2 linked regions of the Xenopus tropicalis genome follow. The protein of the gene in region 1 interacts with the protein of each later gene in a biochemical or structural test. Links are inferred from orthologs where the notes say so. Each region holds a gene or a part of one and is shown in the gene's direction. Other genes may lie near its edges. The genes, in order: tom1 and tollip.

Region 1 (15,467 bases):
CCAGGGCTCCTGCCCCAGGGGCCCTGCAGGTCACCATGGAATGTAAAAATTCATTGTGAGTCCCAGAGAGGGGACAAATTTTGAATAAGTTTGTTGAAACCGCTGATGAACTGTGTTCCTGTTATCATTATGTTGGGAAGAGTTTGCCCAAATAAACCTGTGTTATTGCCTGAAGAAGTGGTGTCCCTGTCTCCTTGCTCCAGATGCTCTGCTTACCTGCCTACCATAGCTAATTTCCCCCAGAAATTACATGTACAGGCAGACGGCATATCACAATATATATACCGTATATAATATATTTGTGTGTGTGTGTGTGTGAGTGCTGAATCATTTTGTTGACAATTCTATTTCTATGAAGGCACGACAGTCACATGGTACCAGCAAGAATGTTCTCCTTTCAGAACGAGCCATAATCTCTCTTACGTAATGTGTTGCTTTCAGACATTGTAAAATGATTACTAGCAAAACTGAGCACAGAAATACTGTTTGTTTTTTGCATCAGTTTGCCATCTCCTCCTACACACTTACTAAAGTGCATTTAGGATGCATTAGGAGTCTGAAGAAAAAACATGTACATTCTTACTGCATGAATAACAACATAGACATTTGTACATTTCACTTGGCCCAAAAAATGCATTGTTGGAGTAGGATAGGGATACACAAGACTGCATCACTTCAGCAAATATTAGGAACTCATAAAACTAGAATAATTATAAGCCAAATGTATCCCGTAGCAGCCAATCAGCTCTGATCAGTCTCCCTGAATATAATTAATAAGAGCTAAAGGTTTTAGGCTTCTGTTGGTTTCTGCTACGTGGTTAACAGTTTTTCAGTTTTGCTGCTCAACACAACTACTAGTGAATATTTTGGTTGTAGTCCAGTTAGTACTGGAGATATGTTGATTTCTTGGTTTTTACATGGATCGTATGGTTTATATGGTGATATTTTAACACAATAAAGCTGGCCTCACATGAGCAACTTTATCTGGCAACTCCAGACCAGCCAGGAACTTATTTGTCCACACATGGGGCCAAAATGTCTACCTAGCCAATTAACTGGTAGTTTTTAAAAAATACCAATGCATGAGCCATGTAGTCCTTTCCCAACGTTGACAAGGGAGATTTGGGAATGTAAGGCTTTCTGACTTACAGAAGTTTCATTTGAATTCAGTTGCAGGCGACCAGGAGTCCTGGATGCATCTAATTATATAACTTGGATCTGGTCTGAATCAGGGAAAGGAATGTTCTTGGCTGGGTGCTGTGTGTTTTTATATTGTGTATTCACCCTCTGTTCAGTACTGCATTTACGGAAGGGCAGAGAGGGCATTAGCTCTTATATTACAGGAGTAGTAAATATGCAAAGAGAACAACTTATTATTACATTATTTATTAGCTTTGTTGTATTTAAACAACACTACAAATGTATGCATTGCTATATAAATAAAATCCTGGCAAAGTTTAAACACAATGAGGGCCACAGTTGATATAAATGAAACAGTGGCAATCATAAACACAATAAAACGTAATACAGTATAAACACTAAAATGGTTGTAGTTAATGTAAATGAAACAGTCAGAGTAATTACACAAGTGCTAGGATTTTCAGTTCAGTTAGAGTTAAATCGTTACCTCAAAGAGCTTACATTTTATGAGAAAGAGAAGACAAGAAAGGGGAGGGGACAAGTCAGGTGTGCTGTAGCAGAGGGAGACTACTCCTAGAAAATTATTCCTTAAAGAAGAACTAAACCATAAAAATACATATGGCTAAAATGCCATATTTTATATACTGTAGTTACTGCACCAGCCTAAAGTTTCAGCATCTCAATAGCAGCATTGATCCAGGACTTCAAACTTGTCACAGAAGCTCCCTATCTTGAAAAGTGTCAGTGACACTACACATGCTCAATGTGCTCTGGGCAGCGGTTGAGAAGCTAATCTTAGGGGTCGTTGACAAAGGCTATTGTGTTAGCCGAAATGTTTGTGTGCTCCACAATAAAAATCACTTTTGCTGCATTATAAGTCCTGTGAGTGCGGGTTCCTTTACATTGTGGGAACTATCTTTGGACTGAACCCAGGCACTGATATTCCTCTTAAACATCAGTGCCAGCATTTGAACTGTGTTATATATGATATATATTATATATACTGTATATATGAGAACCCTGACAGAAGGAAACTAGCTGGTCACTCCCACCTTGACCTAAGATATCTAAATATGGTGGCTTGTTTATTAAGAGCATGTAAGATAGACAACTAAACCTCACTGAATATATAGCCAAGCCTCTGCTTGTTGCATTTTGTTATTTCACAAAAGTGCCCTTGTTCATCAACACAATTAATTTTTGTCTTTCAGAAAAAGCCACTGATGGATCCCTTCGTTCAGAAGACTGGGGTCTTAACATGGAGGTCTGTGATATTATCAATGAGACAGAAGATGGGTAAGGACCAAGATATGTTGTATGTGAATGTAAAGACTGCAAAGATGCATGTTGTAGCCTTAAAATGAGCACATTTGAGTTTGAGAATATATAGGGATTAATGTACTCGCTATTGTAAAAAATAGGGATATTAGAAGTCACCTCAGAGTACCTGGGTCTTTGACCTTGTATATGGTCATGGAACTCCTTATTTATAAGGGTCACCAGGTCATGTGGATTAGTCAAATGCAATCACCTTGCAATATCTTGTAATGGTACCCTTATTTTATTATGGGGATTGCTATAACATCTCATATAGGATTTTATGTGTGTCCTTCCATGTAGTCATTGCAGTATTCTATAGGAGCTATGGTATAATCCAGTGATCTCCAACCAGTGGCTCTGGAGCAACATGTTGCTCACCAACCCCTTGGATGTTGTTTCCATTGGCCTCAAAGCAGGTGGTTATTTTTGTTTTCCTGGGGGGCAAGTTTGGTTGCATAAAAACCTGGTGTCTTGCCAGTCAGAATCTCCTGTAGGCTGCAAGTCCACTTAGGGCTATAATTGGCACCCCTCAGAAATTTTTGCATGTAAAAAAGGTTTGGGATCCCTGGTGTAATCTATTCCTTCTCTTTTATGGCAAAATGGTTCCTGCGCTGAGCACAAGACAAAACTCCTTGTTTTACTTGGTTTCCTCATTTCCAGTAACACCATGTTTTTATAGGCCAAAAGATGCAATCCGAGCATTAAAGAAGAGGATTGTGGGTAACAAGAACTTTCGGGAGGTGATGCTGGCATTAACGGTGAGATGTAGGCACCAGATTTATTGGGTTTTTTTCAGCTTATTTAAGAGGTTGGTGAAATATTTTCTGAAGACTGAAGTGCTACAGCCTGGAGATGCAATCATGGCGAACTCATCTATAACCATCCCCACAAGTGTTAGGTTATTAGCCAACCATGCCACTTACAGAAATAAGTTCTAGTACGGACTGTAAAAGGGCATATCATTTTCTTCTCTCCATAATGTTCTCAAATCCCTGAGTTTAATTGGAACATGCTCTGTGAATCATTTACTCACTTAGATGAGCCCAAGGGTTGATTTGTTTATTAGTAATCATTAAGAGTGGCCCAGTGTTTTGGTACATTCTACATATTGAAAATTTCCATGTTCTCTCAAAAAATCATTGTAGAGATAGGACACTGAGATTATTATTGTCTCTGGGTAAAAAAATTATACACTTAATGAGAGCAACTGAAAATGTATTTTTGATGCAAAACACCAGTCTGTAGCTAATGGGTTTTTGATGCAGGAGATATTTTACCCAATATTTCTAAAAAAGTTCTACATGGGGTATTTATTTTACTGAATAAAGCATATAAAACTGATTTATGACTGTAAAGTTGCTAAAATCAAGGCAGATTGACATATGGATTAAAGGTACTTGTGGACAAACAGGATCCTTGCATTTTTGAATAGTTGCACAGAGCTCCAGTGTTCCTGCTCAGCCTGCTCTGATAAATGGTATGTACTGACACTGGGGAACACTGGTATTACCACCACCCTGAATATGGCAATCATTTCAGGGTTCCCACAGCAGGTAGTGTCAGTAGACACTGCTGACCTAGCAAATTGGATAAAAATGTTGTTTTATGACACTGTGTTTATTTGTGTGAAAGTGAAACCAACCCCACTCTGAAGATGCCAAATGCAACACGTATACGCAAAGAGCTTGTTTTTTGGTTGTGCTCGAGACAATCTGAAGCTTAGGCAAGGGGAAGAGGCATCTTCATGAGATTTGTTGCAGATCTATTGTGGCCGACAAATCTTCACCTCGTGTAATCTTTGTTTAGTGTGCATCTAAAGCGTGCTGGGGATTACTTTGTGTGTATCAGCAGGGAGATAAAGATAACTCTATGTATAATCGTAGGAAAGTATGTTCCAGAAATAGCAGAGACGTATATCATCAGATGGCAGTGCATATTGTGAGAAAGATATTATTGTTATCTGATAAAATAAAAATGTTCTAAGCTATCTGATTGACTAAACAGCTGATCACCACAGTACGGAAATTGTTGGAACAATTATTAGGAGCCAACACATTGTATGAAACTTTGTTTTATATCGGCGCCTGCATGGCCAGCTTTATTCAGTGTATGTGTATGTGTATGTGAGGCCTACTGCATATGTACGCGCTGTGATTATACTCACTGTGTATCTGTGGTTTCATGGCTATTAGTGTTTATCTGTAACATGGCAAGGATTACTAATGTGTAAGCCTTAAGGGATTTGTTCCCAGAATCCCTTTTGACTATTTGCATACGTATGAGGCGGTCTCCTCAACCCTTTTGACTTGTTCGTGAATCCCATCAGAAAACCCTGCACTGCACTGATGAGCCCCAAGAAGGGCGAAACTGGTCTGTAGTTGGGAATCTGATCAGCTATTATCCTGGCTTCTGCTTTAAAAACCCAGTGGGTGAGCTGTAGCCTATAGGATAAACCCATGTAAATGGGATTTTTCTAAGAGCCTTAAGGAATTTGTTCTCAGAATCCCTTTTGACTAATGTGTGTACCAATATTGTGCTGAAGAATACATCTGTGTGTACTTGCAATGTGCTGAGGATTACTGCATGTATGTTGCTGTCTCAATAGATAAAATGTAAAATGTTTCTTTGACTCTTACTCACTACTACTTTTTTAATAATTTTCCAGCTCTTGGAGACTTGCGTGAAAAACTGCGGTCATCGATTCCACGTTCTAGTAGGTAGCCAAGAGTTTGTGGAGGGAGTTCTGGTGAAGACAATTTTACCCAAAAACAACCCTCCAGCCATCGTCCATGATAAAGTTCTAATTCTAATACAGGTAAAGGTGATTATAGGGAGCATTCTCAACACTGTGTTGGGTTAGAACAAGAGGTTTTTATGTAGTCTGTGATCTTCTTTGTGTATTAAAATAAAAGTAATATACTGGGCCTCACTTGCTAAAAAATGGCAATTTGCAATGTTATTAAAGTACCCATATCTTAGCCAGATTTATTAAGTAGTGCTTTAGGACATTTGGTTTCCTCACTGGGCTTCCTGAACTCTATAGTGCCAGAGGTAATCCCTTATACTATGACATTTTTAGAGGTGTAGAGAGGCCTTTTAAAGGGAAATTGTTGCTTTAATTGTTCTGTACTGTGACTCAGAAGAATGAAAGAAGATTGCAAACCTTAATTTCTAGTAATGCTGACACCTCTTTTTATTTATAAAAAAGTTCCTATGAATTATATGAATGTGTCAGATCTCCTTTGGGATCATTTGTAATCCAATCTACCTTTTTTAGGTTTTTTTTTTTTTTAATAAACTTGAATGATGATCTTAACCTTCTAAACCTCTCTTTTGTAGGCCTGGGCAGATGCCTTCCGTAGCTCTCCAGACCTGACTGGGGTGGTCAGTGTATATGAAGATTTGAGGAGGAAAGGCCTGGAATTTCCAATGACTGATTTGGACACTCTGTCTCCTATACACACACCGCAACCAGTAAGGAACTTGTGTGAATAAGTGGGATGGGGGAATTTTAAGTAGTTCCCAAAGCTAGAGAAGTCATAGGACAGTACTAAATGAGAGCCTTCTTAATGGAGGCCATACACGTTACAGTTATGACCTTTCCTGCAACCACTGGTTGTAGGAAAGATTATTTATACACTCCACTAACATTCAGAGCTGAATTGTCAGATATGCAGGTAGAAACAAAAGAATTCTACCCCATCTGATGCAGCACTAAATGTCGGCTTTTGCCGATCTTGGTTGCCTCATCTCTCACTATACATGTATGATAATATCAGTGCGTGTATGGCCACCTTAACACTCTCAAGCTTAAATACTAATAAAAAACAGCATGCAAATTAATTTATCATCATACAACAGATAGGATGAAGTATATAAGTGATTTGTAAGCATTATTCAATAAAACTACTCACCTAATTTTGTTCTATAAAGCTGTGTTTTCTATAATTGTCTGCTATACCATACGCTGAACACTTGTCCTTTTTTGTTATCAACAACAGTCCAGTGTTCAACCTTATTGATCCCCTTGGCAGAAATTATAGTCTGCAGTTTAAGATTTAATGCTTTTTTTAATAGCCACTCTTTATAGCCCCCAGCTAAACAATACTATGGTATCTTGGTCCTAACTAGATATCTCTAGAGTGCTAAAATTGTAATTAGTTAATAAAGTTACCAGGAACGGGATTCTGCCGGAGGGTCAATCATAATGGCTCCTTAATGATGTAAAGCAAAAAAAAATCCTAATTTTAAAACTTTTATTAGGGCTATGTCACGCTCTGCGTTTCTGCGCCTACAGTGATTCAAATGAAAGTTCTGTTCCTCTGATCTAAAGGGGTGGAAAAAGATCCATCCCTATCTGTCTATAATCCCCTCAAATATACTGCACTGCATACTCAGGGTGAGGCAAAATTATGTTTTCAACCCTTGAGTCAATGCCCTTTTTTATACAAGACAGCACTTTATTTGCTTTAGTAGCCACAGAATGACATTGCCTGGAATTTGACTTGTTATCTACAAAAATCCACAGATCCTTCTCAAGTAAGGATACCCCCAAGCCACCATTTTGTGTATAACTTACATTCATATTATGTCTACCAGAGTGCATAACTTTGCACTTATCAACACTGAACCTCATTTTCCAGTTTGCTGCCCAGTTTTCCAATTTTGTCAATTCACTCTGCAAAGTGGCAGCATCCTGCATGGAACTTTTGCACAATTTAGTATCATTAGCTAAAACAGAAACAGTACTTTTAACGTCCACCTCCAGGTCAGTACTAAATTAAAAAGGAAAGGTCTAAGGGACAAGTTTGGGTAGAGGTAATGTCATGTTGGCTTTGTGGGAAAGTATATGGGGGAGTAAAACGAATCATGGGTAATTTAAAAATACACTTGGCTGATAAAAGTAAGTGAAATCGCTTGGATTTTCAGGAAACATCATATGTACCTTAGCCCCTAAGGGTAAAGACACACAGAGCTACTAGTAGCAGCTACTTGTCATGGCTACAGAAAAAGACAATGCTGATTATTTACTGATAAGTGTCTCTATGTATGTTTTAACAGAGTCAATTCACAGTATTGTCTATGGCTGAGTATTTTCTTGCATTCAGTAGCCGTGACAAGTAGCTTCTAAGGGCTCTGGTACACGGGGAGATTAGTCGCCCGCGGCAAAACTCCCTGCTCGCGGGCGACTAATCTCCCCGAGTTGCCTACCCCTGCCATCCCACCGGCGAACATGTAAGTCGCCGGCGGGATGGCAGACGCGGCGGGGTGATTTCGAGAAATCGCAGAAAAAGCCTCGCGAGTCTTTTTCGGCGATTTGCGCGAAATCGCGCCGCCGCGTCTGCCATCCCGCCGGCGACTTACATGTTCGCCGGTGGGATGGCAGGGGGAAGGCAACTCGGGGAGATTAGTCGCCCACGAGCAGGGAGTTTTGCCGCGGGCGACTAATCTCCCCGTGTACCAGAGCCCTAATAAGTAGCTCTCTGTGTCTTCACCCTAAAAGTTGTATCTGTTCAGCCAGCACATACAAATAAACTATTTCTTTGCCATAAATGTCGCATTTTATGTGAAAAGATTTTTATTCTGTAGTTCTGTAGGGAGACATGAATGACATTTAAGTCCTGTTTATTATCCAAAACCATTGTATTTTACAGAGTTTAACTGTTCTCTATGTAATCATTTTATCTATTGCCTTATTTCAACTTGAAGGCTAATGTTACATGGGGCTGATCTTGGCCTGTGTACTGGCACAGGTAGGAAATCCTTGGGCATCCTCTCAGTTGTGTGTCTGCACCTGGAGCCACTGCATTGGCCTGGGTGCAAATTTTTAAAAGATAGAGGCTACTTTGTAGAAGGTGTAATTGAATTGTTTTATATTAGTTCACATTAGATGAAGTGAAGTAATGGTAAATGTAATAGAACCATATTTTGGTGCAAAGAGATGGAAGGGAAAGATCTTTTTGGTGTTCCCAGTGGTTCTTTATTTTCTAATTTTGTCATATTTCCCCTCAGAGCTTCTCTGCACCAGAATCCCCTTCTCAACAGGACTGTCCTTCCTCAGAGTTTCCTCAGAGGGGAGGGTCAGTACATTCTGAGCCTCCCCCATACAATGTTCCAGCTACAGCCTCTGGCGACACTGCAGTTACCCCCACACCTGATCAGGTAAACAAATATTTTGTCTTTCTTTCCAAAAGGAAAGCCTAATTATTACCTGGCACACAGTTCTCATTAGTTCTTATTAGTATACCAAAAAAAAATTGTAAAGAGTAAAGCTTGAGAACTGTTTTAAAAATATCAGTTACTAAGAATATACATTGAAAGCACATCTCTATTTGACCTTCATTACCTAAATATGTCAGACAACAGACTTTATGAAATTGGTCCCTAAATGGCATTTCTGTTTGCAATAGTTGGCAAAGCTTCACAGCGAGCTGGAAATTGTGAATGGTAACGCAAAGGTGATGTCGGAGATGTTGACAGAGCTGGTCCCTCAGACAGCCAAGCAGTCTGACGTGGAGCTGTTACAGGTGGGGCAGTAAATCTTTCCTATCGGAATCAATAAAAATGTTGTTATTGTTTAGTTTCTGACTGAGATTTATCAGCTAGTGTTGGACTTGTGGTCTCTTTACATACCATACCACAGGGGTCAGGAACCTTTTTGGCTGAGAGAGCCATAAACACCACATATTTTAAAATGTAATTCCAGGAGAGCCGTACAATATGTTTGGCCGCGGATGCTGCAGGGCAAGGTCGGGTGGGTCCCAAGGATGCCAGATGCGATGCAGAGGAGGCGTGGCCTGCACTTGGCGGATAGAAGACATGTTCTATGGCTTAGAACATGTCTTCTATCCGCCGAGCGCAGGGGCAAGGTAGGGTGGGTCCCAAGGATGCCGGATGTGGATGTGATGCGGAGGAGGGCGTGGCCTGCGCTCGGCGGATAGAAGACGTGTTCTAAGGCTTAGAACACGTCTTCTATCCACCGAGCACAGGCAACGCCCCCGTTATTTTTTTTTTTATTAAAGATTTTGGCAGTTCCTCCAGTGTCTGGAATGGTAATTACCTGGACCTCATGGTGCACTTGTGGGTCAGGCAATTATTGTTTAGAATTGCTTATTGCAGTGTTTTCAAGTTTACTGTGTGGGTCCAGGCAGTTACCATTCAAGTGAATGGGGGGGGGGGGGGGGGGCACAATTCAGCTGGAAATCACATGGCAAATGGTGGTTTGAAATGTACACTGTAGAGAGGACTTGCAACAACATAATTGAACATGGCAAAATGTGAAATGACATTTAGATTGAAAACATGATAATCCCATGTGTTTCATTAATGAATGTCTACAGTTGCTTTTCTTTTGCACAGGAATTGAATCGGACGTGCCGAGCAATGCAGCAGCGAGTTTTGGAGCTAATCCCCCGTGTAACCCATGAACAGCTGACTGAAGAGCTACTTATTGTGAATGATAACCTCAATAATGTCTTCATTCGCCATGAAAGGTAATAAATCTATAGAGATATAGAGTAAGGGTTCTAATTGAGAATATTATTTTAAAACTGTGCTGAGGTTTGCTAAGATTACCTATTTACATAGTAACATAGTAAGTTGGGTTGAAAAAAGACATACGTCCATTTAAACTGCTGTTACCTGGAAAGTGGCCATTCTGGCACTTTTAGGTGTTTCCTATTAAACATGATCGGCGATGGCAGGGGACTTTGGCTCATTGTATGGTTCAGCTCTCCAAACACCTGAAATCCACCTAAGAGGCCTTAAACCTGGGAATTTAAAGGGATAATGTCATGAATTTTATGGTATACTTTCAGATAACCTATTGTTTCTCCTATTCCCATGTAACTGGAGGAGTCCCAAGCTGGACTTGGATTTCTTACTATTGAGTGCTATTCTGATACCTACTGGGAGCTGCTATCTTGCTGCCTTCCCATTGTTCTGCTGATCGGCTGCTGGGGGGGGGGATAATATCATTTCAACTTGCAGCTCAGCAGTAAAGTGTGACTGAAGTTTATCAGAGCACAGGTCACATGTCTGTGGCACCCTGGGAAATCAGGAATACGGCTAGCCCCATGTGAAATTTCAAAATTAAATATAAAAAAATCAATTTGTGTTTTTGAAAAACGTATTTAAATGCAGGATTCTGCTGGAGAAGCTCTATTAACTGATTTTGAAAAATTATGTTTTCCCATGACAGTATTCCTTTAAACATCACAGCTATGTACAAAGAAAGATATTTATCTTCATTGTTACAGGCCAAGACCAGTATTAACACCAATGCAATTTTCCAGGATTAAGTAATGATTTGATTTGCTTACTAACCCCATTCTGTCTTTTGTTTTTGTTTTTTTTGTAAGTTACCTACTTGTTTTTCTCTTGTTCATTTCAGGATAATCCGATAATTATAGCAAATTCTTTAGATAAGTTTAATAGTTAATGCATTTAAATTGCTATACAGATAATTTATTCTATAAAACAGTACAAGCTTTCCAAATATTGTCTGTCTAATGCAGCTTTTGCTTGCAGGTTTGAGAGGATGCTCGCTGGTCAGCAAGGCCCAGTAGCAGAGGCACAGGTAATTTTAACAAGTTCTAGAAATAGATTTGCTACATGATCTGTACAAGACATAAAGATTTCAAGTGCCAGATAACAGTCACAACCAGCTTGTAACACTTAGACCTACATTCCCATGATTAATAAAAGTAGGATCTAATGATGCTGCATCTGACTGTAGCAGTGTCAATTTTCTGATATTACCTTAAGCTCCCTACTTTTCCAAATATACTTCATCCTTACTTTTCTAAATAGTTATTCCTGCTGTCTCTTCATTTGCTTTAGAATTAAATATGACTCTGGACTATAACCTTTTCAACAAAGCATGTCAAAGGGAGCACCTTTATTTTACACGTCATAAACATACAAATCAGATTTTCAGAATCTGCAACTGGCCATTTCAGTGTCAGCTGCACAGACTGTACTGCAGAGATAAAGTATGTAGCCAGCAATCTTCCCCACATTATAAAATACTACAGAAATCTTTTCATTCCCAAATAGACATTTGTAACAAAATATGTTCTTTTACCTCACTTGCTGATCATCCTGCACACTGAGCTGCAGTGTCCTTGTCTCTTTGTTTTAATAATCACTCTCACTTTATATTCTGTAAGATGCAGATGGTGATTTGAATTCTACCATCAATGAAAAGAGTGATAGTTTTGAAATAAAAGATTAAAACATTACACAGTAATTTTCAGTGCCATTCAGAACAACCAAGGCTTTAAAAATGAAATAATAATCACTATATATGCACAGACTATTATATAGATAATGACTGTTGTAAAAAAGTAGTTTTATACCTGGATATTAGTTAGTTCATCGTAATGGCACACAAATAGGGTATTTGAAAACCTGTTGCAGTTAAGAAGTTATTTTCTGCCAGCAGCTTCTACCCATTCTGGAACATACTTCCCTCTGGCACATAATTATCAAGCAAGCATCTTTTCGGAAAATGGAAGTCGCCCATTTCGAACTTAATGACCATGCACTGTGCTGTAGGGCAGCGCATTTTTGCATTCAACCATAGTTGTTGTGGATGAGTATTTGGATGACTGTAGTTCTCCCTAAGTCCATCATTGTGATCAGAACACCCCATGTACTCATGTTTTGCTCCCTATGTTTTCATTATATTCTGTTTTTTCTTCTCACCATAATTTTAGTCCTTGAACCCAGTGGACATGTTGCTCTTACTTCTATCTATCCTTCTTGATAGGTTGCAAGAGACAGGGTTCTTCCCCCATCTCTTATTGACCTCGAGGAAACGCCCTCTAATTCAGCTCCGACTCTTTCTACGCAGTTAGCAGGAATCAGTAAGTCTTCTTTTATTTTTGTATTTTGCCTTTCATCTGCTTATATATCATCTGCTGGTATATTATAGTGTTGGGAAATCTTAGTGTTGTCAGCTGGCAGCCCATTGTGATTGCATGAGGATGAGATGGGAGCAGAGTGGCAAGGACTGGAGGTTGAATCAAGAGAGAAGGATGTGTATAAGGGGTCAAGGCAGAATGAGAGGAGCAGGGGAAAAATGTACATAGGAACAGAAAAAGAAAAGAGAAGGGGATAATTGAATGTGCAGAGAAATTAAAAGTATGTGGCAAATTAATAAGAAGTCTAAGGGGAGAGCAAAGTGCAGAATAGAAGGGTTGGGGCACAATATACAAAACAATACATACACGGGGCACGTAATACATACAGAAATTAAATAGCCTTTTAACTTAAAGTGATACTAACACTAAAAATCTGCTCTTTAAAATAAAAATGTACATAAAAGTTACCTATAGGTCATTTTGATCATCCCTTCCCAACCTTTCATGCAAAGACAATGTTATGACAGATGTAAAAAAAGGTGTCAGTATGGTGTCAGTATCTCTTTAAGGTTAATTGATTCTGAAAATGAAAGGGGCATTAAAATATAGTGCTTTATGCTGTATCCTTTATTTAGCACAAACCAGAAATGCATTTGTTTACCATACGCGTCTGTGGAAAGTAGTTTCTTACTAGGTGATTAGTATATGGCTATGGGCATTTTGACTACCACTTTTTTCCCACAACAGTTGTCAAAATGACCCCTGTGCCATATGGCTTGCGCATTTTGCTCAAGGATACAAGAAAACTCTAACTATGTTTGAACCCCCAGGTATCAAGCATGGGTAATAACTCTCATGTCTGTACTAAGCAAGATTTACTAACATCTGACACTAGGTGGCAAAAGACATTAAAAAGATGAAGCTAACTGCAGAACTCTGATACTTTAGTTTCATATGAACCTGCTGCTTGTGGCAACTTGCGTGAAATGTGTGTAGTCTTTTTATAGCCTGGTGAGAAAATTGCATTGAATAGGGCTTGTGCTGAACATACTTTTTACTTGTTATTTTAATTGCAAAAATACCTTACTTTTGGTATTTGAGTTCAACGGGAATAAGAGGGAGATTGAAGTTACTCTGCTTCTTGAATGGTAGATAATTAGATTACAATAATAATTGGAATTCTACAATCCCAACCTTTCCCTTTTTATTGTGACTAGTTTGTCCAGTGTGCGGGGGGGTTAAATGCCCACTGGTAATCTAATTATCTTTCTTGCAAGGGCCAAACATAGAGTAGCTTCAGTTTCCTTATTTGCCCTGTTTCATTCAAGAAATAACAAAAACCATACATAACTATAGGCGCATAGTATGAGTTCAGTTTTTACTTATGGCTGTGGCCCTTCACTCCAGTCAGGTCATATTCATATATTATCTAATGCTGCCAATTATACAGGTATAGAATATATTATCCAGAATGCTTGGGACAAAAGTTTTTTTCTTTTTTTTTTTTTGGTGAATTAGGGGTTCTTCCTTTTTATTTGGATTACCATACCTTAAGTCTACTAATCATTTTAACATGAAAGAAACTCAATAGAAGTGTTTTGCCACAAATATGTACTGTACAGTTTAGAAAAATGAATAAAAGTTACTTAAATTCTCTATGGGAGATTGCCTTCCTTTAATTTAGAGCTTTCTGGTTAGCAGTTTCCTGTATAATAGATACCAGTGCAAGCATGAATTTTTGCAAACTGGGCCCCTTTACCCTTACCTTATCCTTTAATAAAGTCTTCTACAGTGTGAATGTGCTGCTGAAGTCTGGTTGCCCAACAGCTAGTATTCTACTGGCTCAGTTACTAAAATGTTATTGATATGAAAGTAACATAAGGCAGACATTGAAGTGTGTCTTTCTGATGTTATCTTGTTAACCTTAAGACCGTGAACCAGTAATGCAAGTTAGTTATTAGATGCAGGCAGCATCTACTAACATGTCTGGTCTGGCCTACAACAGCCTCAAATGGGGAAGGTGGAACAGTTGTTGTCATTGTCCTCTAACTGTATCTGCCATATGTTCTAGAGTCTCAGAGCACCAATAGTATATCTAGACCCAGAACTAGGAGTCAGCAGCTGCCTAGGGGTGCAGTTAGAAAAATAAATTACTACACGGTCACTCGCACACTTCCGTCCACTATGTGTTGGGGATGGTTGTGGCTGCTGAGACGGAAGTTTCTACAGCAGATGGCAAGTAGCAGGCAGAACAAGAGGTACTTGCGTTGGGCAGAAGTACCTATCAGGGGTGCAGAGGTATAACAGTAGGAAGCCAGTGTCTTAAATAATGCTTCTATAAGTTGGATACAAAATTGTGCTTATTTCCTTATACACTTGGCATTAAAGTTGCAGCATGACCAGGCAAACATGCAAATCTAATTTCATAAGGGCAGACGAGAATATGTAAGGAGGAAAGAGTGCAGCGTGCTGTACACGATATTAATGCACCAGATCTGTATATCTTTATGGGGTACTACTTGCCCTAACTGTCACACTAATTGTAAAACCCTTATATTGTGCCAACAATATCTATTGTGATCATAAAATATTGATAACCACAACAGTATGTGTTAGTTTTGCTGCAACACTTTACATCTTAAATCACCATGTTTGAAAAAAGGAGCTTAGGGCATACCGCAGCTAATTTATTAATACTGTGCCCCAGTGCTGTAACCCATAGCAACTAAGCAGACATTTGCTTTCATTATTATTACAGCAGTATACAGATTTAAGGCAATTGCTAATAAGTTGCTATGGGTTACTTCTTATTATGATAATAGCACAGTATGGCCTCATGCGTGGAAGGCCAAATTGATTGTTAGTTAGTAATTGGTTTTAATAAGTGTGTATATATACAATAAGGATGCAAGTCTCTAATTGGTTGCTATGGAATACTGCAATGGGTCAAATTGGTACTGTAATAATAAATGAGCAGCCATAGGTCTTAAGTTGCCCTCTTGCAAGGAGGACAAAGGTTGTTTTGGACAAATAATTTTATTTAAGGGTAAATTATGAGGCCAGCTTAACTCTTTATAAGGACAATTCACTCTTAAGCACACACACCTGTCCCTTCATTGAAAGGCCTGGCTTCGGCCTGTG
Region 2 (16,030 bases), about 100 Mb from region 1:
TTTTGTGATATGTAGGGGGGGGAGATCTACAGCTCTGTATTAAATATTTTTTGGCCCCGGCATTAATGGGTTCACACACATATGGGATTAGCTGTCTCATTTTAAGGTACTCGTTTAATCGCAATAAAAGCAAGAGGAGGTTCGGAAAAATCAATACTGTAGCATCAACTGAAAGGGATTAATAAACCAGGCCAGCACAATAATCTAGTGTAATAATGTCCAGTTCACTATAAGGGCAGTGCACCTTGGCATTGAATAATGTGCCCTGTCTTTATGAGCTGTATCTATGATGATGATGAATGCAGTATGGCAGCAACATGAATGGGCGCACCTCGACATAGACACATCTTCATCTATTTGTTCATGTTCGTCTGTGACCACAAGTGTTCTTTATCGTATTGATAAAGCCCTTGCTTACTGTTAGCAACATGTGCACATAAAGCACCACATCATGAAAGCAGGGCAAATGCTCAGGTGTTGATACTCACCAGTATCTAGGACTGATTGCATGCTGTCAGGAAGCGGTATACTATAATACACTTACTTTGTAAAGCACAAAGGGCACATCCTAGCAATCACTTATGATGGAGGGCCAATAATTGTGAGACCCATCTTGGATTTCTTGGCTATTATAACAGGGACAAAGTTTGCAGCAGCTCTAGAAACCACAGCAACCAATCAGCAAAGGAAGATTTATTATTAGTTAGCTGTATGAAAGCAAACATTTCATTGGTTGCTATGGGTTACCGAACCTGAAGCATATTTTGCATGTTGCTACCTTACTCCATACGCATATGCTAATGGATTTGGACCAGACTGAGAAGTATTTGACACAGGAGCTGTTTTAAGTAATCAGCAAGGAACACTGACATGCTGGCCCAAATGAAGGCCCATTTGAAGTCTAGTCTAGCATATACATAACAAAGAGCATAACAGGCTGCAGCATTTTGGACAACACTGCTAAAAAAGAAGGGGCAGTTCAGCTGTACCTTCAAAGTAAATAGCCCCCAAGTCAAAAAATAATAACAACAATGGAAACCAGAAAAGAAGCACTAAATAATAATATCTATATTACAGATTAAAAGTGTGTGGAAGTGTTGGGATTCATCAGGACCAATAACAATGCTAGAAAGAAATTAAACAAATGATGCCCTTTGTAATTGTATCTACATCTCCCCAAGTGACCCCCCTGATACACAATGACAAACTACATCTTTCAGAAATAACCATCACCTCAGTTGAGGAATGCTGGGATTTGTAGTTCTGCAGCAAATGGACTCTTCAAGGTTGACCATCCCTTGCACAGTATAATCAGCATATAAACTGTTCAACCTTGGCTGAGGATGCTCAAAGTGGTAGTTCACAACAGCCCCGGGGCTATGCATTTGTTATATCTACAGATAGAAATCTCTTCACATTAAGTGAAGTGTTTGCACTATGTACAATGACATGGACTGGGGAAACTTCTTTCAACTCAGCTGTCACCTGTGATGTTTGCAGAACACTAAAAGTGTAATATCTGGCTGCGCCTGGAATGCAAGTGGTTAATCCCCGAGGACCTTGCTCAGTGAATAATGTTGCTAGATTGCGTTCTGTTCTTTTGTGGATTATAACGTCAATGGAATTAGAGGGGTGTAACAAGAACACTATCCTTGAAGTGAACAGCCTTGCACAACAGAGATCACTAGGAGCAGATAAAAGTCACCACTTCTGACTTCAACACACTTAGTACCTTTATATATATATAAATCTGGATGGGTGTATTAAAGGAATGGCCCATTGTTCTTAAATAATAAGTATGGTATGTGAAGAGGCACTGAGCAGTTTAAAATCATCTCTTTAGCATTATGAACTAAGTATCATTCCTAAAGATATTACCTATAGGAATTTATAATACACTTGAATGTGATGGTGTCCTGAAAACTTTTTCAGCTCAGAAACCTGTTTTAATGGCTAAAACAAGCTAAGGCTGAACTGTATTACCCAGCATCCCCTGACAGCCTTTTGTAGTGCACCAACAGCTGGAGATTACCCCTGCATACATAGGTTTCTAAAGCTAATGCTTGTTCTTTTTCGTGTTATTGATGCATAAAGAGGTCCACCAATATATTTTGTATAAATCCAGCATTGCACAGTATATCTAATTATACAGGTACAACATAATCAAAGTGATTGAATTTGTTTATAGTTTTATATTGTTACTGGGTCGTGTTCTGGTACTGGAATGCGTCACGTGAAATCTCAGAACTAAATTTTGCAGTATTGCTCTGGCAATGTTTGTACTGGCACATAAACTTGAGTTAAAGGCGATTGCTTTGTGGCAGTAAGGGAGCCAGCGCATAACACAATAACTGTAGCTCATTTGGCTCGGCGTGCACAATGACAAGGCATTCCTATGGGCAATATTTAATATTTAGCGCTAAAGTGAAGTCACTGGGCCAGTCCCGAGCAACACTGGTATTTCCTGTTAAGCTTTGGTTTCAGAGCAAGACTGCACAGCACCAGTGCTGGTCCAAACATTGGCTCAAGGCCTGCACTACACACCCTTGCGCTGATACCACTGCTTAGTGCAATAATCTTACACTGTGTAATTTCATACTTGGTCCAATTTCAAACATTCCACTGCTTAAGGTCATTCTTTTGTATGGCTCCAGGATCTAACTACTGGTCTAAGCTGTTCATCTTTTTTTGACATCTTGTGTTATGACCTCTATTAAGTTGCTTTTTTAGATTTTGTACGCTGCCAAAATATTGACTGTCTCCACCCCGTTACTGACCGGGTAAAGAAAGGCCTAGGCACCTCAAGCAAGCAGCTTTGTGAGCCCATCCCGCAGATACTATGATTGATATATGTACAGAAGCATCCTTCACTTAATACCATTGCCAAACACAGGTCCTCCCACAGAATCGTGGACCCCCCCACCCGCATCCTCCCTCCTACATCCTTATTGTTTCCGGCTGTACCCACCTGTCTGCCCTTTCCCCAGCGTCTTCTCCAGCCGATATGGCCCCACATATTGCATGTGTGGTATTCCACTACCATCTTTCACCACTGTGGTCATCTTGTCTTCTGTCTTTCCACGGGGATCCAGATGCAAGGAAAATCCTCAAGAGGAAAGGGGGGAGGAGGACTGGGATGGAGAGGGAGGGGGGGGATGGCTGTGTTCGCTTCTTCTCCCCCCCTCTCTCGGTGAATAAACCTGTCCGTTCTTGAGACGCCCAACTGAGAACCTTTTGGAGCTCACCATCAATAGGAACCTGCTTGTATCTCGGGCTTCTGTACCTTGTCGTTCCTCCTGTCACGAAGCAGAGCACTGAAGACTCAATGTGATGAATGAAACAAAAAATAAATAAATAAATAAAAAATTAAAACCACCTCACTACGACTGCACCTCCCTCTCTTTCTTTTTAGTTTTTTTTGCAAAAAAAAAAAAGAAACTAAATATTGCAAAATTTGTAAAGTAAGATGATAAGAGGGAAGCTGGGGCTACGGTGCAGGGAGCATGGTGTAGATGCTGCCGCCTTACATACAAGCAGCTCAGCAGGGACCTGCTGATCAATCCTCACGCTCGCTGCTAGAAGGGGGAGTGCAGGGGGGGTTGCAGCCTACTAAAGCTGAGATGTTAGGTTGGCTGTGATTGGTGTACGCTAAACTCTATTCCGGTTGGAGACTCAGGGATGCATTTTAATTGAACTAGGGGGGTTACCTTGTGCGTAGGGATGTGTGACTGTCTTTTATTTTATCATTGTGCTCAGCTGTGCAGTACAGTAATAATACACATCTGTAACAATGCAGGATGCAATCTGTGGGAGTGTGAATATGCACTGATAACAGTGCATATTATCATTCCCACAGATAGCATACTGCAAAGGTATGTATTATGGGGTTACCGGTGCCTTCTCTTCTATGTTCAAAGTCCAGTACTTTCCATTATTAGAAGCAAAATATACATTACAGCACACACCTACTTCTCTTTCTGTAAACAACTGCTTTTACCAATACACTTTTAACCACATACTGATCCCCAAATAGTGGCTCGTCATTAACATGTTGCTCACCAACCCCATGGATGTTGCTCCCAGTGGCCTCGAAGCAGGTGCTTATTTTTGAATTCCTGGCTTGGAGGCAAGGGGTACTGACAAACAGAACCTCCTGTAGGCTGCCAGGCCACATAGGGGCACCCCAACTCGTTTTACATTTGAATGTGGCTCACAGATAAAAAAAGGTTGGGGACTTCTAGCCTAGAACATCCAAGGGGAAAAACAGAAACTGAAAGCGCATATTCTACTGTCTAACATTTGAAAGGTGTTCCTGCAGCTCTCAAGTAGTTGCAAATCCCACTGGTAGTCATAGTGCAACAGCTGGGGGGCTGCAGATTTATGTAATCCAAACCATATGAGGGTGCCAGCCTTTCTGCATTGCCAATGCCAGCCTTTAGCCCTGAAATTTAAAGTAGATACATTATGCCCTGCTATTGTACTACACTTTAATGCACAGTAAGAATATGTAAGCTGTGCACAGAACTATTGCTCCTAGAGAAGGTGACACCATGCCTAAAGAAGGTGACTGGTTTCTCTCAGGGATGTTTAGTGTAAGGGTACAGCACAGCATACCAGTATGTTTCACTAAAGGGGAAGTTTATTCACCTATACATATATCACTTGGCATCATTCTGCTCCATATATACCTGCATTCCTAAAGGGGTAACACCCCCAAATGAACACTAAATAAAACAGTTCAATGTACTGTCTCTGTCTGCTCTGCTTGTCCGGAGTCTTAAAACAAGGTAGCAGAAGCCACCTCTCCTCCAACCAAGATTCCTGTTCCCATAAAGCCTAGCATGTTCTATAACTAAAAGACCCCTGAGAGAGAGCTGACTTTTGCTACATTTTTTTTTTTGCAACAGCTAGAACAAACTGTGCAGACAATAACAATGGCCATGGAGATACTGAGTTTAATATCAATAACATTTACAAATAACTTAAATCATTTATATTTATTATTTAATGGGTTTGGGAAAGTTGCATAGAACTAGACCTTCTTTCTTCTCCAACATTTATTTTTCATTATATGGGTGGTTTTCCACTCCTCCTACTCCTATCATAAATTCGTAGGCATGCAGTAAATGCTCAGACTGTCTGTCGGACAATATGGGAGCTTTCTCTCTCTAGAGGGAATGTTTCCTGGGCACAGTATAATGGGTGAGCTTGGGAGTTGGAGCACTGGTCAAGTTCTGTGTGCACACTCCCCCTAGTGGTATAGTATGAAACAGGCAGGAGTTTGTCCTCTGGGCTTTCCCTACTCTTCAAGGGGTACAGTTTTAATGATGCACAAACTAGGGGGGCATCCAAGGGGGCACCCATGTGCCTTCCGCCTTGACTACAGCACCACTAAACTATGTGCAGGTCTTTACAATGCCAAAAATGGTGACGACAACATCACTGCAAAGCTTTGCATTTCCAGCTGAGGGATTGGGGTGCGGTGCCAGCAAAGGCTGTTTCTCAGAGAGGAGGTATGGGGGAGTGGTGCCAGCTTCAAGAGTCAGGTGAAGCGGCTGAGAAGGGTTTTCCCAAGATGTAAATGTGTACCCATTTAATTCAGTGTTGAAAAGTGTCAAATTTGGCGTGCTGTAATCGGGGATGCTAGAAATCTCTACAAACAATCATGCTGACATTTAAATATGTCAATAAAACAAGACAGGAGGACATTCTAACTTGTATGTATTACTAACTTTTTTTTCTTATATGAAAATAACAACAGTTTCACAAAAAAAGAAAACAGTCACTAAAAAGACTACAGAACATTTCAATTTTACTTCATCAAACTTACCTGTGGCGATGATTTTCGCCGGTAGTTATGGATTGCAACATAGTGTGCCCGGATAGTGGGGCCCAGGTCATGAGAAATCACAGGGTCCCTCACAACAAAATTTTCTTGGCATCCTCCTGCTTCCTCCGGCTCCGCCCCCCCTCACGTCCTCCTGCTTTCTCTGGCTCCCCCCCCAGCATCCCCTTGCCTCTTCCAGCTCCCCCCTCAGCATCCTCCTGCTATCCCCCAGCATCCTTCTGCTTCCTCCGGCTCCCCCCCCCCCCAGTGTTCTCCTGCTACCTCCAGCTGACTGTCTCTCTCCTCCGGCTCCCCGCAGCGTCCTCACTCTTATGACGTTACATGTACACACGGGGCGCGACCAATCGGATTACTCGTTGACCACCAATGACAGGGCCTGTACTTGGGGGGCCCCAGCTAAAAAAAACTGTATCAAGGCTGGGCCCCCCTTAAAAGTGAGAATCGTCCGGGCCCTGGATGACTGTCCCCCCTGATGGCAGCCCTGTGGGGCCCAACAGGACTAGAGCCTACCGGGTTTTCTCCTGGTGTCCCAGCAGGCCAGTCCAATGCCGCGCTGTTTCATGCATCTACACATTATTTTCTGCACCTACATATACTAAAGGGCAGATTTATTAACATTCTGATTTTCATGGTTTTACAGTATTTTGAAACTCATGTCTAAACTCGTTTTCACAAAAGTCACAATAAAAAGGCTTTAATAAAAGATCCAAATTGAAAAAGCACAAACAAATAAAAAAGACACGGGAAAATGCAAAAAACGGCAGCTTTTTCATAAGTGAGGAAATACCTTCCAGTTGTAAAAAGGGACACCTGCCATTGACTTCTGCTCTCAGCAGCTTTTAGATGGCGCATTTTTTCTTTCGGATTTCCTGCGGTTCTGTAAATCAACTTTCCTGTAAATAAATCGTATTTTGGCACATATGTTCCAACTGTGAAAAAATAAATCGAACGTTAGCAAATGCCCCCTTTATACGCCCTTACACACCCTTTGACACACCCACACAATACAAATATTTACACACCCATTTACACACTTACACATTCTTACTCTGTTTTACACACAATTGTACAGAATTGTACTCATTCACACAAAGATAGCAAGGCTGGTATTTTTTCCTCACAGTTTTGCATTTAGTAGAGAGCAACTGTATGACATGAATAACATATAAAATAAAAATGTATTTGAAAAAGTTATTTAATTTCCCACTTAAAAGTTGGATTTATGGCCTGTGACAGAATTAACCAATACTGATATAAAATCACACACGACACCCATAGGGAACAGTTTCCTGACATATATGTACTTAATAATTTTTCTATCATTTCAGTTTCTATATTTTATCCTCAAAAACAAGAGCCAACCTGTGTCCTGAGGCACTTTAGGCATTCTGCGCATGCGTGCGTCCGGCAGGTCAGGTGACCGAGTTGCTAGCGGAGCCGCCGCTAAAACCGCAAGCGTCTGATGCCTTACTGCGCATGCGTGTGCGCTGCAAGTCAGGTGACAGATTTGTTAGAGGGTGTAGCAGCTAAAACAGGAAGTGTCTTGGAGAAGACGAGACCGGAGAGATAAGAGCTGTTCAGAAGCCATGGCAACGAGTATCAGCACCCAGAGAGGCCAGGTGAGATAGAGTGGAGAGAGGTTTTGGGGTGAAACGGGGTGTTTAGGTGGTAGGTTCAATACATGAGGGGTGATAAAAATGTCGGGGTATGGAGGTGAGACCCAGCCCCAACATAAGGAATGCGCTGCATTCCTGGCTAGTTTGTAAATAAGGTGACATTGAGATCTTTGATATTTGGAATGTATTACCTCGTTGACGGCATGTTTTCCTTTTAAACGCCACAGAAAACCCCTACATGCTGTGTAGCCAATCAGCTATTAAACTGCGTTCTGCGTGGCTGTACATAAATCAGTGCAGCCTGCAGCAGCTCATTTTTCACCTAGTTATGTAGGATATGAAATTAAAGAAGCACTATCCGTCTTACTCAACAACAAAGGGTTACTAATAAATTGGCTTGAGCTCAACTAGTTTTTTGTTTTTTTTTGCCTATTTGAATCGCGACAGATCTATGGGTTTTGTTAATTTTTTTTGAGCTGGAACAGGGGCAAGCTGAGAAACTGAGGCTACCCCATGTCTTGCAAGGTGAGTAATTAGATTGCAGCCTGACAGATATTCCCATTCATAATGGGCTTCTGCTTTTTTTCTAATTCAAAACAGTAACAATAAAGGGTGGAGCTTGTTTGTACAGAGGGCATTATCTCTTGTTAAGGTGGCCATACATGGGCCAACCAGTATTTGACCCACAAGCCTAGAGACTTAAAGGGCAGGTTTGGTATGAAGGGCCCTAAGTTTTGTGGTTGCTGAAGTCTTTAGCAGTCCTATGGCTTTACATTCTAGGTCTCCTTGTACGTGCCCTAAATTGCTTGGGCAATATGGACATATTTAGCCAAACTCTCGGCCGCCTATCCCTATCCCTTAAAGCGGCTAGAGTTGTTCGAGTGTTAAAGCCCTGATGCACTGATGTCTCCCGTTGGAATGTGGCTAGGTCATGTGCTTCAGCCGCCTAAGCATTCCACTCCCAGCGACCAAGATAGGATATGGGCCGTAAACATCTTAGTTTGTTCCTCACATGTACAATATGTATTTATCTGTTTTTACATCAATTCTTTAGCTTCAAAGCATCTGTGATGCTTTGATGTCCTCTCTTTACTTTTGTCCTGTAAAGACAGCTTTGCAATATATATTATAGGTATGGGACCTGTTATCCAGAATGCTCGGGACATGGGGTTTTCCAGATAAGGGGTCTTTCTGTAATTTTAGATCTACTCACCTTAAGTCTACTAAAAATCATATAAATGTTAAATAAACCCAATAGGATTGTTTTGTCTTTAATAAGCATTAATTATATCTTTGTTGGAATTAAGTACAAGTTACTGTTTAATTACTATAGAGAAAAAGGAAATAATTTTTAAAAATTAGAATTATTTCTTTTAAATGGAGTCTATGGAATTTTTAATGGAGCCTTTACGTAATTTGGAACTTTCTGAATAATGGGTTTCCGGATAAGGGGTCCTATACCTGTACTTTAAATGGTTTTCAGTGGTTTTCGAAGTTATATGTAAATGTAATTGCTAGTGAAGGCAGTAAATGCCTGGCTGTTTATAGTCTCAGCACTACTGTTTCGGAATCCTGAAACAATGTTGCAATAGCTAGCCTCAAAACAGCTATGGGTTTTGTGTCATGTGAGTGTTGTAATGATGCTTTCTGTTCCATCCTTTGAATGGAAATTCTACTGAAAATATTATACCCTTTCATACTAATAACAAATATTATCTACTATTTTAACCCGAGTCAGGGTAACCCAAATGTTTTTCTTCCTTCTCACAAATATCACCTTTTACTTGTTGGTAAGACTCTTTTTTTTTTTTGGCAGGACTTTTTTGGTGGGTTTTTGTATGTGAGCCTGTACCAACGGGCTAAGTCCTTTTGCACGAGTTTGCAGCAGTGCCACTTTTCTTTGGTGAATATATATAGATATGTCTATAGGACCCATTATCCAGAATGCTTGGGACAAAGGGTATTCCGGATAAGGGGTCTTTCCTTAATTTGGATCTATATACCTTAAGTCTACTAAAAAATAATAAACCATTAATTAAACCCAATAGGATTGTTTTGCCCCCAATAAGGGGTAATTATATCTTAGTTGGGATCAAGTACAGGTACTGTTTTATTATTACAGAGAAAAGGGAATAATTTGACCATTAAATAAACCTAATAGGGCTGTTCTGCCCACAATAAGGGGTAATTATATCTTAGCTGGGATCAAGTACAGGTACTGTTTTATTATTATAGAGAAAAGGGAATAATTTAACCATTAAATAAACCCAATAGGGCTGTTCTGCCCACAATAAGGGGTAATTATATCTTAGTTGTGATCAAGTACAGGTACTGTTTTATTATTACAGAGAAAAGGGAATCATTTAACCATTAAATAAACCCAACAGGACTGTTCTGCCCCAATAAGGGGTAATTATATCTTAGTTGGGATCAAGTACTGGTACTGTTTAATTATTACAGAGAAAAGGGAATCATTTAACCATTAAATAAACCCAATAGGGGTAATTATATCTTAGTTCGGATCAAGTACAGGTACTGTTTTATTATTACAGAGAAAAGGGAATCATTTAACCATTAAATAAACCCAATAGGGCTGTTCTGCCCCCAATAAGGATTATTTATATCTAAGTTGGGATCAGTTACATGATACTATTTTATTACTACAGAGAAAAAGGAAATCAGTTTAAAAATTCTGAATTATTTTATTAAAATGGAGTCTATAGGAGACAGGCTTTCCATAATTCGGAGCTTTCTGGATAATGGGTTTCCAGATAAGGGATCCCATATCTGTATATAAGTGGGAGTGTGAGTGAATACCCTAGGATTTTTTCAGCATAATCTTCCTGCTATGTTCCTACCCTTTGCACCGTTTTTGTAGAAAGGGAAGGAATATATAATATAATTTGTACATATTAAGTTGGAACTATGGCTTATAACAGTAATGGTGTCCATAAACTATTTATGAGCTAAGGGGGGCCCTCAACAATGGTTCAACCTTCAAGGTGGGCCTTGAATTGTATCTTTTAATGTTTGACTGTTGGACATGCTGACCAAACTTGCAGCATTAAATGGAAAAGTTGCGCTTACCACTAAACAATTTAAACCATTTGGCAGGGGTACAGTGAGGTTGTGGCCATAAAATTCATACCAACAAAGACCAGAGGTCCTCTCCACGACATTAAAGGGGAAGTCCGGCTTCCAAACCAAAATTTGTTAGAGAGCCCCACACAACACAGAAACCCCTAATATACCTATCACTGTATCTATTCCTTCAAAAAGTATGAATAAATACCATTTTTATATGCTGAAATCCAACTGCAAAACAGTTCTTCTCTTTCGGGATCATTTAAAATCAGGCAGGGGCAAAAAGATTGATGTTACAATTTGGAATTTTCCTGCAAAATATTTGCCTTTTTTTGGTCGTAACTGGGATCACCTGACTACAGCTGGGAATGTTGGGGGTTGCAGCATGGAGCTGGCCTCTGCTGTAGTATAAACTGTAGCAAAAAAGGGAAAATTGTGCTCGCCACTAAACAATTTAAACCAATAAGCAAGGGTGCAATGAGCTTGTGACCACAACATTCACATTTATCATTATAATGATTGAGCAGAGTCTGACTGCATTACAATGGATCCAGGGGTAAGGTGATCTAAGGTACTCCAACACCAGACCCCAACCAGGGGTTGCATGTTTTTAACATGACCATTACCATGAGAAGCAGAAAGGAAGGAAAAGAGAGGACGACACTGCAAAAGAAAAACAAAATCTTGATGGAAAAAGCATGGCTTAAAGTAGATACCACATTCATGAATTCCAGACACCTTGAAGCTGAACTCTTTTGCATATGTTATAAGTGAACCCTGTCAGTGTTATGTAAGATTTATAAAATGTCCCTTCTGTGGGGAAGGTTATAATAAGATATTGTGCCCAATGTACAGTAAGGAAAAGGTCCAGCTTGTGTTTGCTATGACTGTCCTGCCCTGTGACTGGCTTATGACATGGGTGCAGCTCAGTGTTATAAAATGTACATCATCCGTGGTATATGTTACAACAGTAACTCCTATTATTTGTTAATGAGCTCTGTATAAACAGGCCCCTTGCTTTACCCTTTATTGTGACTGTTTTGAGAAAAGCGGAAGTCCATTATGTGTGGATATATCTGTGCAGTGGTAATCTGATTGTCCACCTTGCAAGAACCAAAAGGTTGGGGTAGCCCTTATGTGTTAAATATTTACTGGTGCTATATAAATACATTATAATGATGGTAGCCAGTTGCTCTCTTTCTCTTATCATTAGTAATGGCGTGCCTAATGGGTCAAGCACATTTAAGACAACAAATTACTGGTGGGTTGCAGCCCTCACTAGTAGTAATGTCAACCATGTCTGCAATTCACTTGGGTTTAGTGGGTTAAAAGATGCCAGCCTGGCATCAGAATTGCATCGTATTTCTGCACTGCCCTTTAATATAGCAGTATATATATTGGGTCTGATTCAATTCACCTAAAGTGTATTGAGAAATCTGAAATTTATTTATTTTTTTTCTATAGAGCTCAATTTGACCCAATAAATTTTTCATGAATGTGTTTTCGGATGTACCATCCTTCATTTTTAGTATCTCCACAAGATACTGTTGTACCCAAATACTAAAGTGAATTGAACGGTCATTTCAAAATGTAGTCAGTACTGATCAGCACTGCAGATTTTTTTCCCCTGTCTATCCCCAAAATAGTTACAGGGGCATAGCATTAAGTAGTATTCCATAAATATATGTGCATGTTTGTATATATTTATATAATATACAGGTCCTTCTCAAGAAATTAGCATATTGTGATAAAGTTCATTATTTTCTGTAATGTACTGATAAACATTAGACTTTCATATATTTTAGATTTATTACACACAACTGAAGTAGTTCAAGCCTTTTATTGTTTTAATATTGATGATTGTGGCATACAGCTCATGAAAACCCAAAATTCCTATCTCAAAAAATTAGCATATCATGAGGTTCTCTAAACGAGCTATTAACCTAATCATCTGAATCAACTAATTAACTCTAAACCCCTGCAAAAGATTCCTGAGGCTTTTAAAAACTCCCAGCCTGGTTCATTACTCAAAACCGCAATCATGGGTAAGACTGCCGACCTGACTGCTGTCCAGAAGGCCATCATTGACACCCTCAAGCAAGAGGGTAAGACACAGAAAGAAATTTCTGAACGAATAGGCTGTTCCCAGAGTGCTGTATCAAGGCACCTCAGTGGGAAGTCTGTGGGAAGGAAAAAGTGTGGCAGAAAAGGCTGCGCAACGAGAAGAGGTGACCGGGCCCTGAGGAAGATTGGGGAGAAGGACCGATTTCAGACCTTGGGGGACCTGCGGAAGCAGTGGACTGAAATGGTGTGTGCAGGAAATGGGCTACAGGTGCCGCATTCCCCAGGTCAAGCCACTTTTGAACCAGAAACAGTGGCAGAAGCGCCTGACCTGGGCTACAGAGAAGCAGCACTGGACTGTTGCTCAGTGGTCCAAAGTACTTTTTTCGGATGAAAGCAAATTTTGCATGTCATTCGGAAATCAAGGTGCCAGAGTCTGGAGGAAAGACTGGGGAGAGGGAAATGCCAAAATGCCTGCAGTCCAGTGTCAAGTACCCACAGACAGTGATGGTCTGGGGTGCCATGTCAGCTGCTGGTGTTGGTCCACTGTGTTTTATCAAGGGCAGGGTCAATGCAGCTAGCTATCAGGAGATTTTGGAGCACTTCATACTTCCATCTGCTTCCATCTGATTTCATTTTTCAGCATGACCTGGCACCTGCTCACAGTGCCAAAACCACTGGTAAATGGTTTACTGCCCATGGTATTACTGTGCTCAATTGGCCTGCCAACTCTCCTTACCTGAACCCCATAGAGAATCTGTGGGATATTGTGAAGAGAAAGTTGAGAGACACAAGACCCAACACTCCGGATGAGCTTAAGGCCGCTATTGAAGCATCCTGGGCCTCCATAACACCTGAGCAGTGCCACAGGCTGATTGCCTCCATGCCACGCCGCATTGAAGCAGTCATTTCTGCAAAAGGATTCCCGACCAAGTATTGAGTGCATAACTGAACATAATTATTTGAAGGTTGATTTTTTTGTATTAAAAACACTTTTCTTTTATTGGTCGGATGAAATATGCTAATTTTTTGAGATAGGAATTTTGGGTTTTCATGAGCTGTATGCCACAATCATCAATATTAAAACAATAAAAGGCTTGAACTACTTCAGTTGTGTGTAATGAATCTAAAATATATGAAAGTCTAATGTTTATCAGTACATTACAGAAAATAATGAACTTTATCACAATATGCTAATTTTTTGAGAAGGACCTGTATAATATACTTGTTCTTATTCCTCTTGCTGATATCTCCCACTAACCCCCAAGGCTAATCCAGGGCAGCTGTTGCAGCCGCACCTTTAGTGATTCAGACTGGAACAATTCAATCGTTGAGACCAGTTCACCTTTGATTTTAGTGCCTGGTACAAGTAAGGAGCTTCTCCTACCAGCTGGAGGATAGCACTTGTTTTGTTATAAAAACACTTTACAGTTGAGGATTACCGCATATATTTTAGCTTGGGAGCAGGGTTTCTATATAGTAAAATGATATTGGTGCTTGGCAGTGCCCTTGTTGGTTGGGTATGGTTAGAGAACATGACCAAATGGTGGGGTTGTAGAGGCGCTGGGTAGGAGGGTAGCTGCCCCATTTCTCCAGACCCTTGCAAATCATGTGAAAATGCCTTCTTATGTAAAGTGTTTTACACATGGCAAATATTAATGAATCCGGATGGTAAGGTATTTTCTGGCAATTTCTCTTTTGCAGGACTGGCTATTTCCCACAGGTTCCAAATCGCTTCTTTTGCCATTGTACTTAGGCACAACAGGAAATGATTACAGTCAATAGGCTGGCCATATCTATACCTATAAAATATTTGTATGCTTTTTGGTATGTGTATGTTGGATGGACTATCACAACTTAAATCCAAGGTACAAAGATAATGGTCGGAAACAGACAGGTTTGAAAATTTAATCTGCCGATGTACAGTGTTGGCCGATGTATGGTGCTGTTCAGCTGAGCGGCTGATAGGTCGGAGAGTGTTTTGCTGCTTTTCCATCAAGGCTAAAACTGCAAATTGAGTCACTACTGGGTAGAAAGACACCTTTATATTAACTTTAAATTATGTTAAAGATGGAACTGTTTCAAGCTATTTTTTCACTTGGCCTTCACTTGCTTATCTTTCTTTTAAGATATTTTCCTACTGATCTTCCATTCTAACTTTTAAACTGCTGCCTGATTGCTATGGTAATCAAGCCCTAGCAACCATGTAGAAAATTTCAATTGTGGAGCAATTTTGGGGGTTTTGTGTTCATTGTTATATGACAAGGCACTCGCTCCTTATTTATTTGAATGGTATTTGCTTGGAAATGCAGCACTGCCCTAAATGCTTATGTGTTAATTAATGGGCTCAAGATAGAATCTGTGACCCCTTGGACTCGATAAGCTGTCATAAATATGACTGATCTCTCAGCCATAAAGCTAAACCCTCCCCTATTTAATCATTAAACCTTTTCCATCATTCATTTCAATACCTTCCCCACTGCTGAAAGTTCCTGGTTCTTTCCAAGCACAGATACAATTATTAGATTGCAGTCTTGACCATTTAGTGTATATTGTAGAAGAGGCAATGCAAGTGAGTAGTAGAGGAAGGGCAGAATGAAGTAGAACAGCTGGACCAGCCCCATTCAGCCCCATTCATCCTTCTGTGAGTATATTGCATTACACTGATCCAAGGGCAGGCATATGCTACGGCACACTTATTATGTGTATGATACATTGAGCATATAGGCTCTTTAGCATAAACAAACGTTTATTACTATTCTCCTCTTTCAGGGCCGCACCCGTAGGTGTTTTAGCTGTCACCCATGCCATGTTGCAACAGCTCAATCATGAGCTCCCAGAGTTTAAAGGGACACATATAATAGTTTAAAAACATCGTCCACAGTGCCCCAATTTCCTGGGGATGACACTGGGACAGCCATTCGATAATCCCTGTTTTGACTCACTAACTCTGTGGAATGTCTACTCTGGGTTTCTGATTATTTTACTATTTTTTGGCAGTGATGGTGGACTTGAGGCACAGACGGCTGGCTGTATGATCTTTCACAGCTACAGGCAACACACAGACTGCCTGACCTTAATGTGCGCTTTATGGTCCCTAAGTGTGCTCTAGGCAAAAGGTCTAGATTGGGGTTTAAACTATGCCCTGGCAAGCACACAGAGGCCTAAAAGGCCCTCGGCCTGCCCAATAAATAGTGACTGTCTGTGGCAGGGGTCCCCAACCTTTTTTACCCATGGAAGGTCACACTGAAATGTAAAAAGAGTTGGAAAGCAACACAAGCATGAAAAATGTACCCTGGGGTACCCAATAAGGGTTGTGATTGGTTGTTTGGTAGCCCCTATGTTGACTAGCAGCATACTTCTGTTTGTCAGTACACATGGTCTTTATGCAACCAAAACTTGCCTCTAAGCCAGAAATGCA

What was found.
Region 2: the proteins of tom1 (region 1) and tollip form a complex in vitro, tested with the Homo sapiens proteins (3 studies listed by BioGRID and IntAct, with this or other methods). The link is inferred for Xenopus tropicalis from reciprocal best matches to the Homo sapiens genes TOM1 and TOLLIP.

The regions. Positions count from the first base shown.
Region 1 is NC_030680.2:122,023,585-122,039,051, reverse strand, and holds part of tom1 (target of Myb protein 1), read left to right. Parts: intron 1-2,351; coding exon 2,352-2,436; intron 2,437-3,139; coding exon 3,140-3,218; intron 3,219-5,125; coding exon 5,126-5,275; intron 5,276-5,799; coding exon 5,800-5,934; intron 5,935-8,472; coding exon 8,473-8,622; intron 8,623-8,870; coding exon 8,871-8,987; intron 8,988-9,819; coding exon 9,820-9,953; intron 9,954-10,989; coding exon 10,990-11,038; intron 11,039-12,232; coding exon 12,233-12,329; intron 12,330-15,467.
Region 2 is NC_030680.2:21,545,575-21,561,604, reverse strand, and holds the start of tollip (toll-interacting protein), read left to right. Parts: upstream 1-7,353; 5' UTR 7,354-7,434; coding exon 7,435-7,467; intron 7,468-16,030. Other genes in the region: serine/threonine-protein kinase BRSK2, read right to left, coding at 2,969-3,062. UniProt on the Homo sapiens protein: Component of the signaling pathway of IL-1 and Toll-like receptors. Inhibits cell activation by microbial products. Recruits IRAK1 to the IL-1 receptor complex. Inhibits IRAK1 phosphorylation and kinase activity.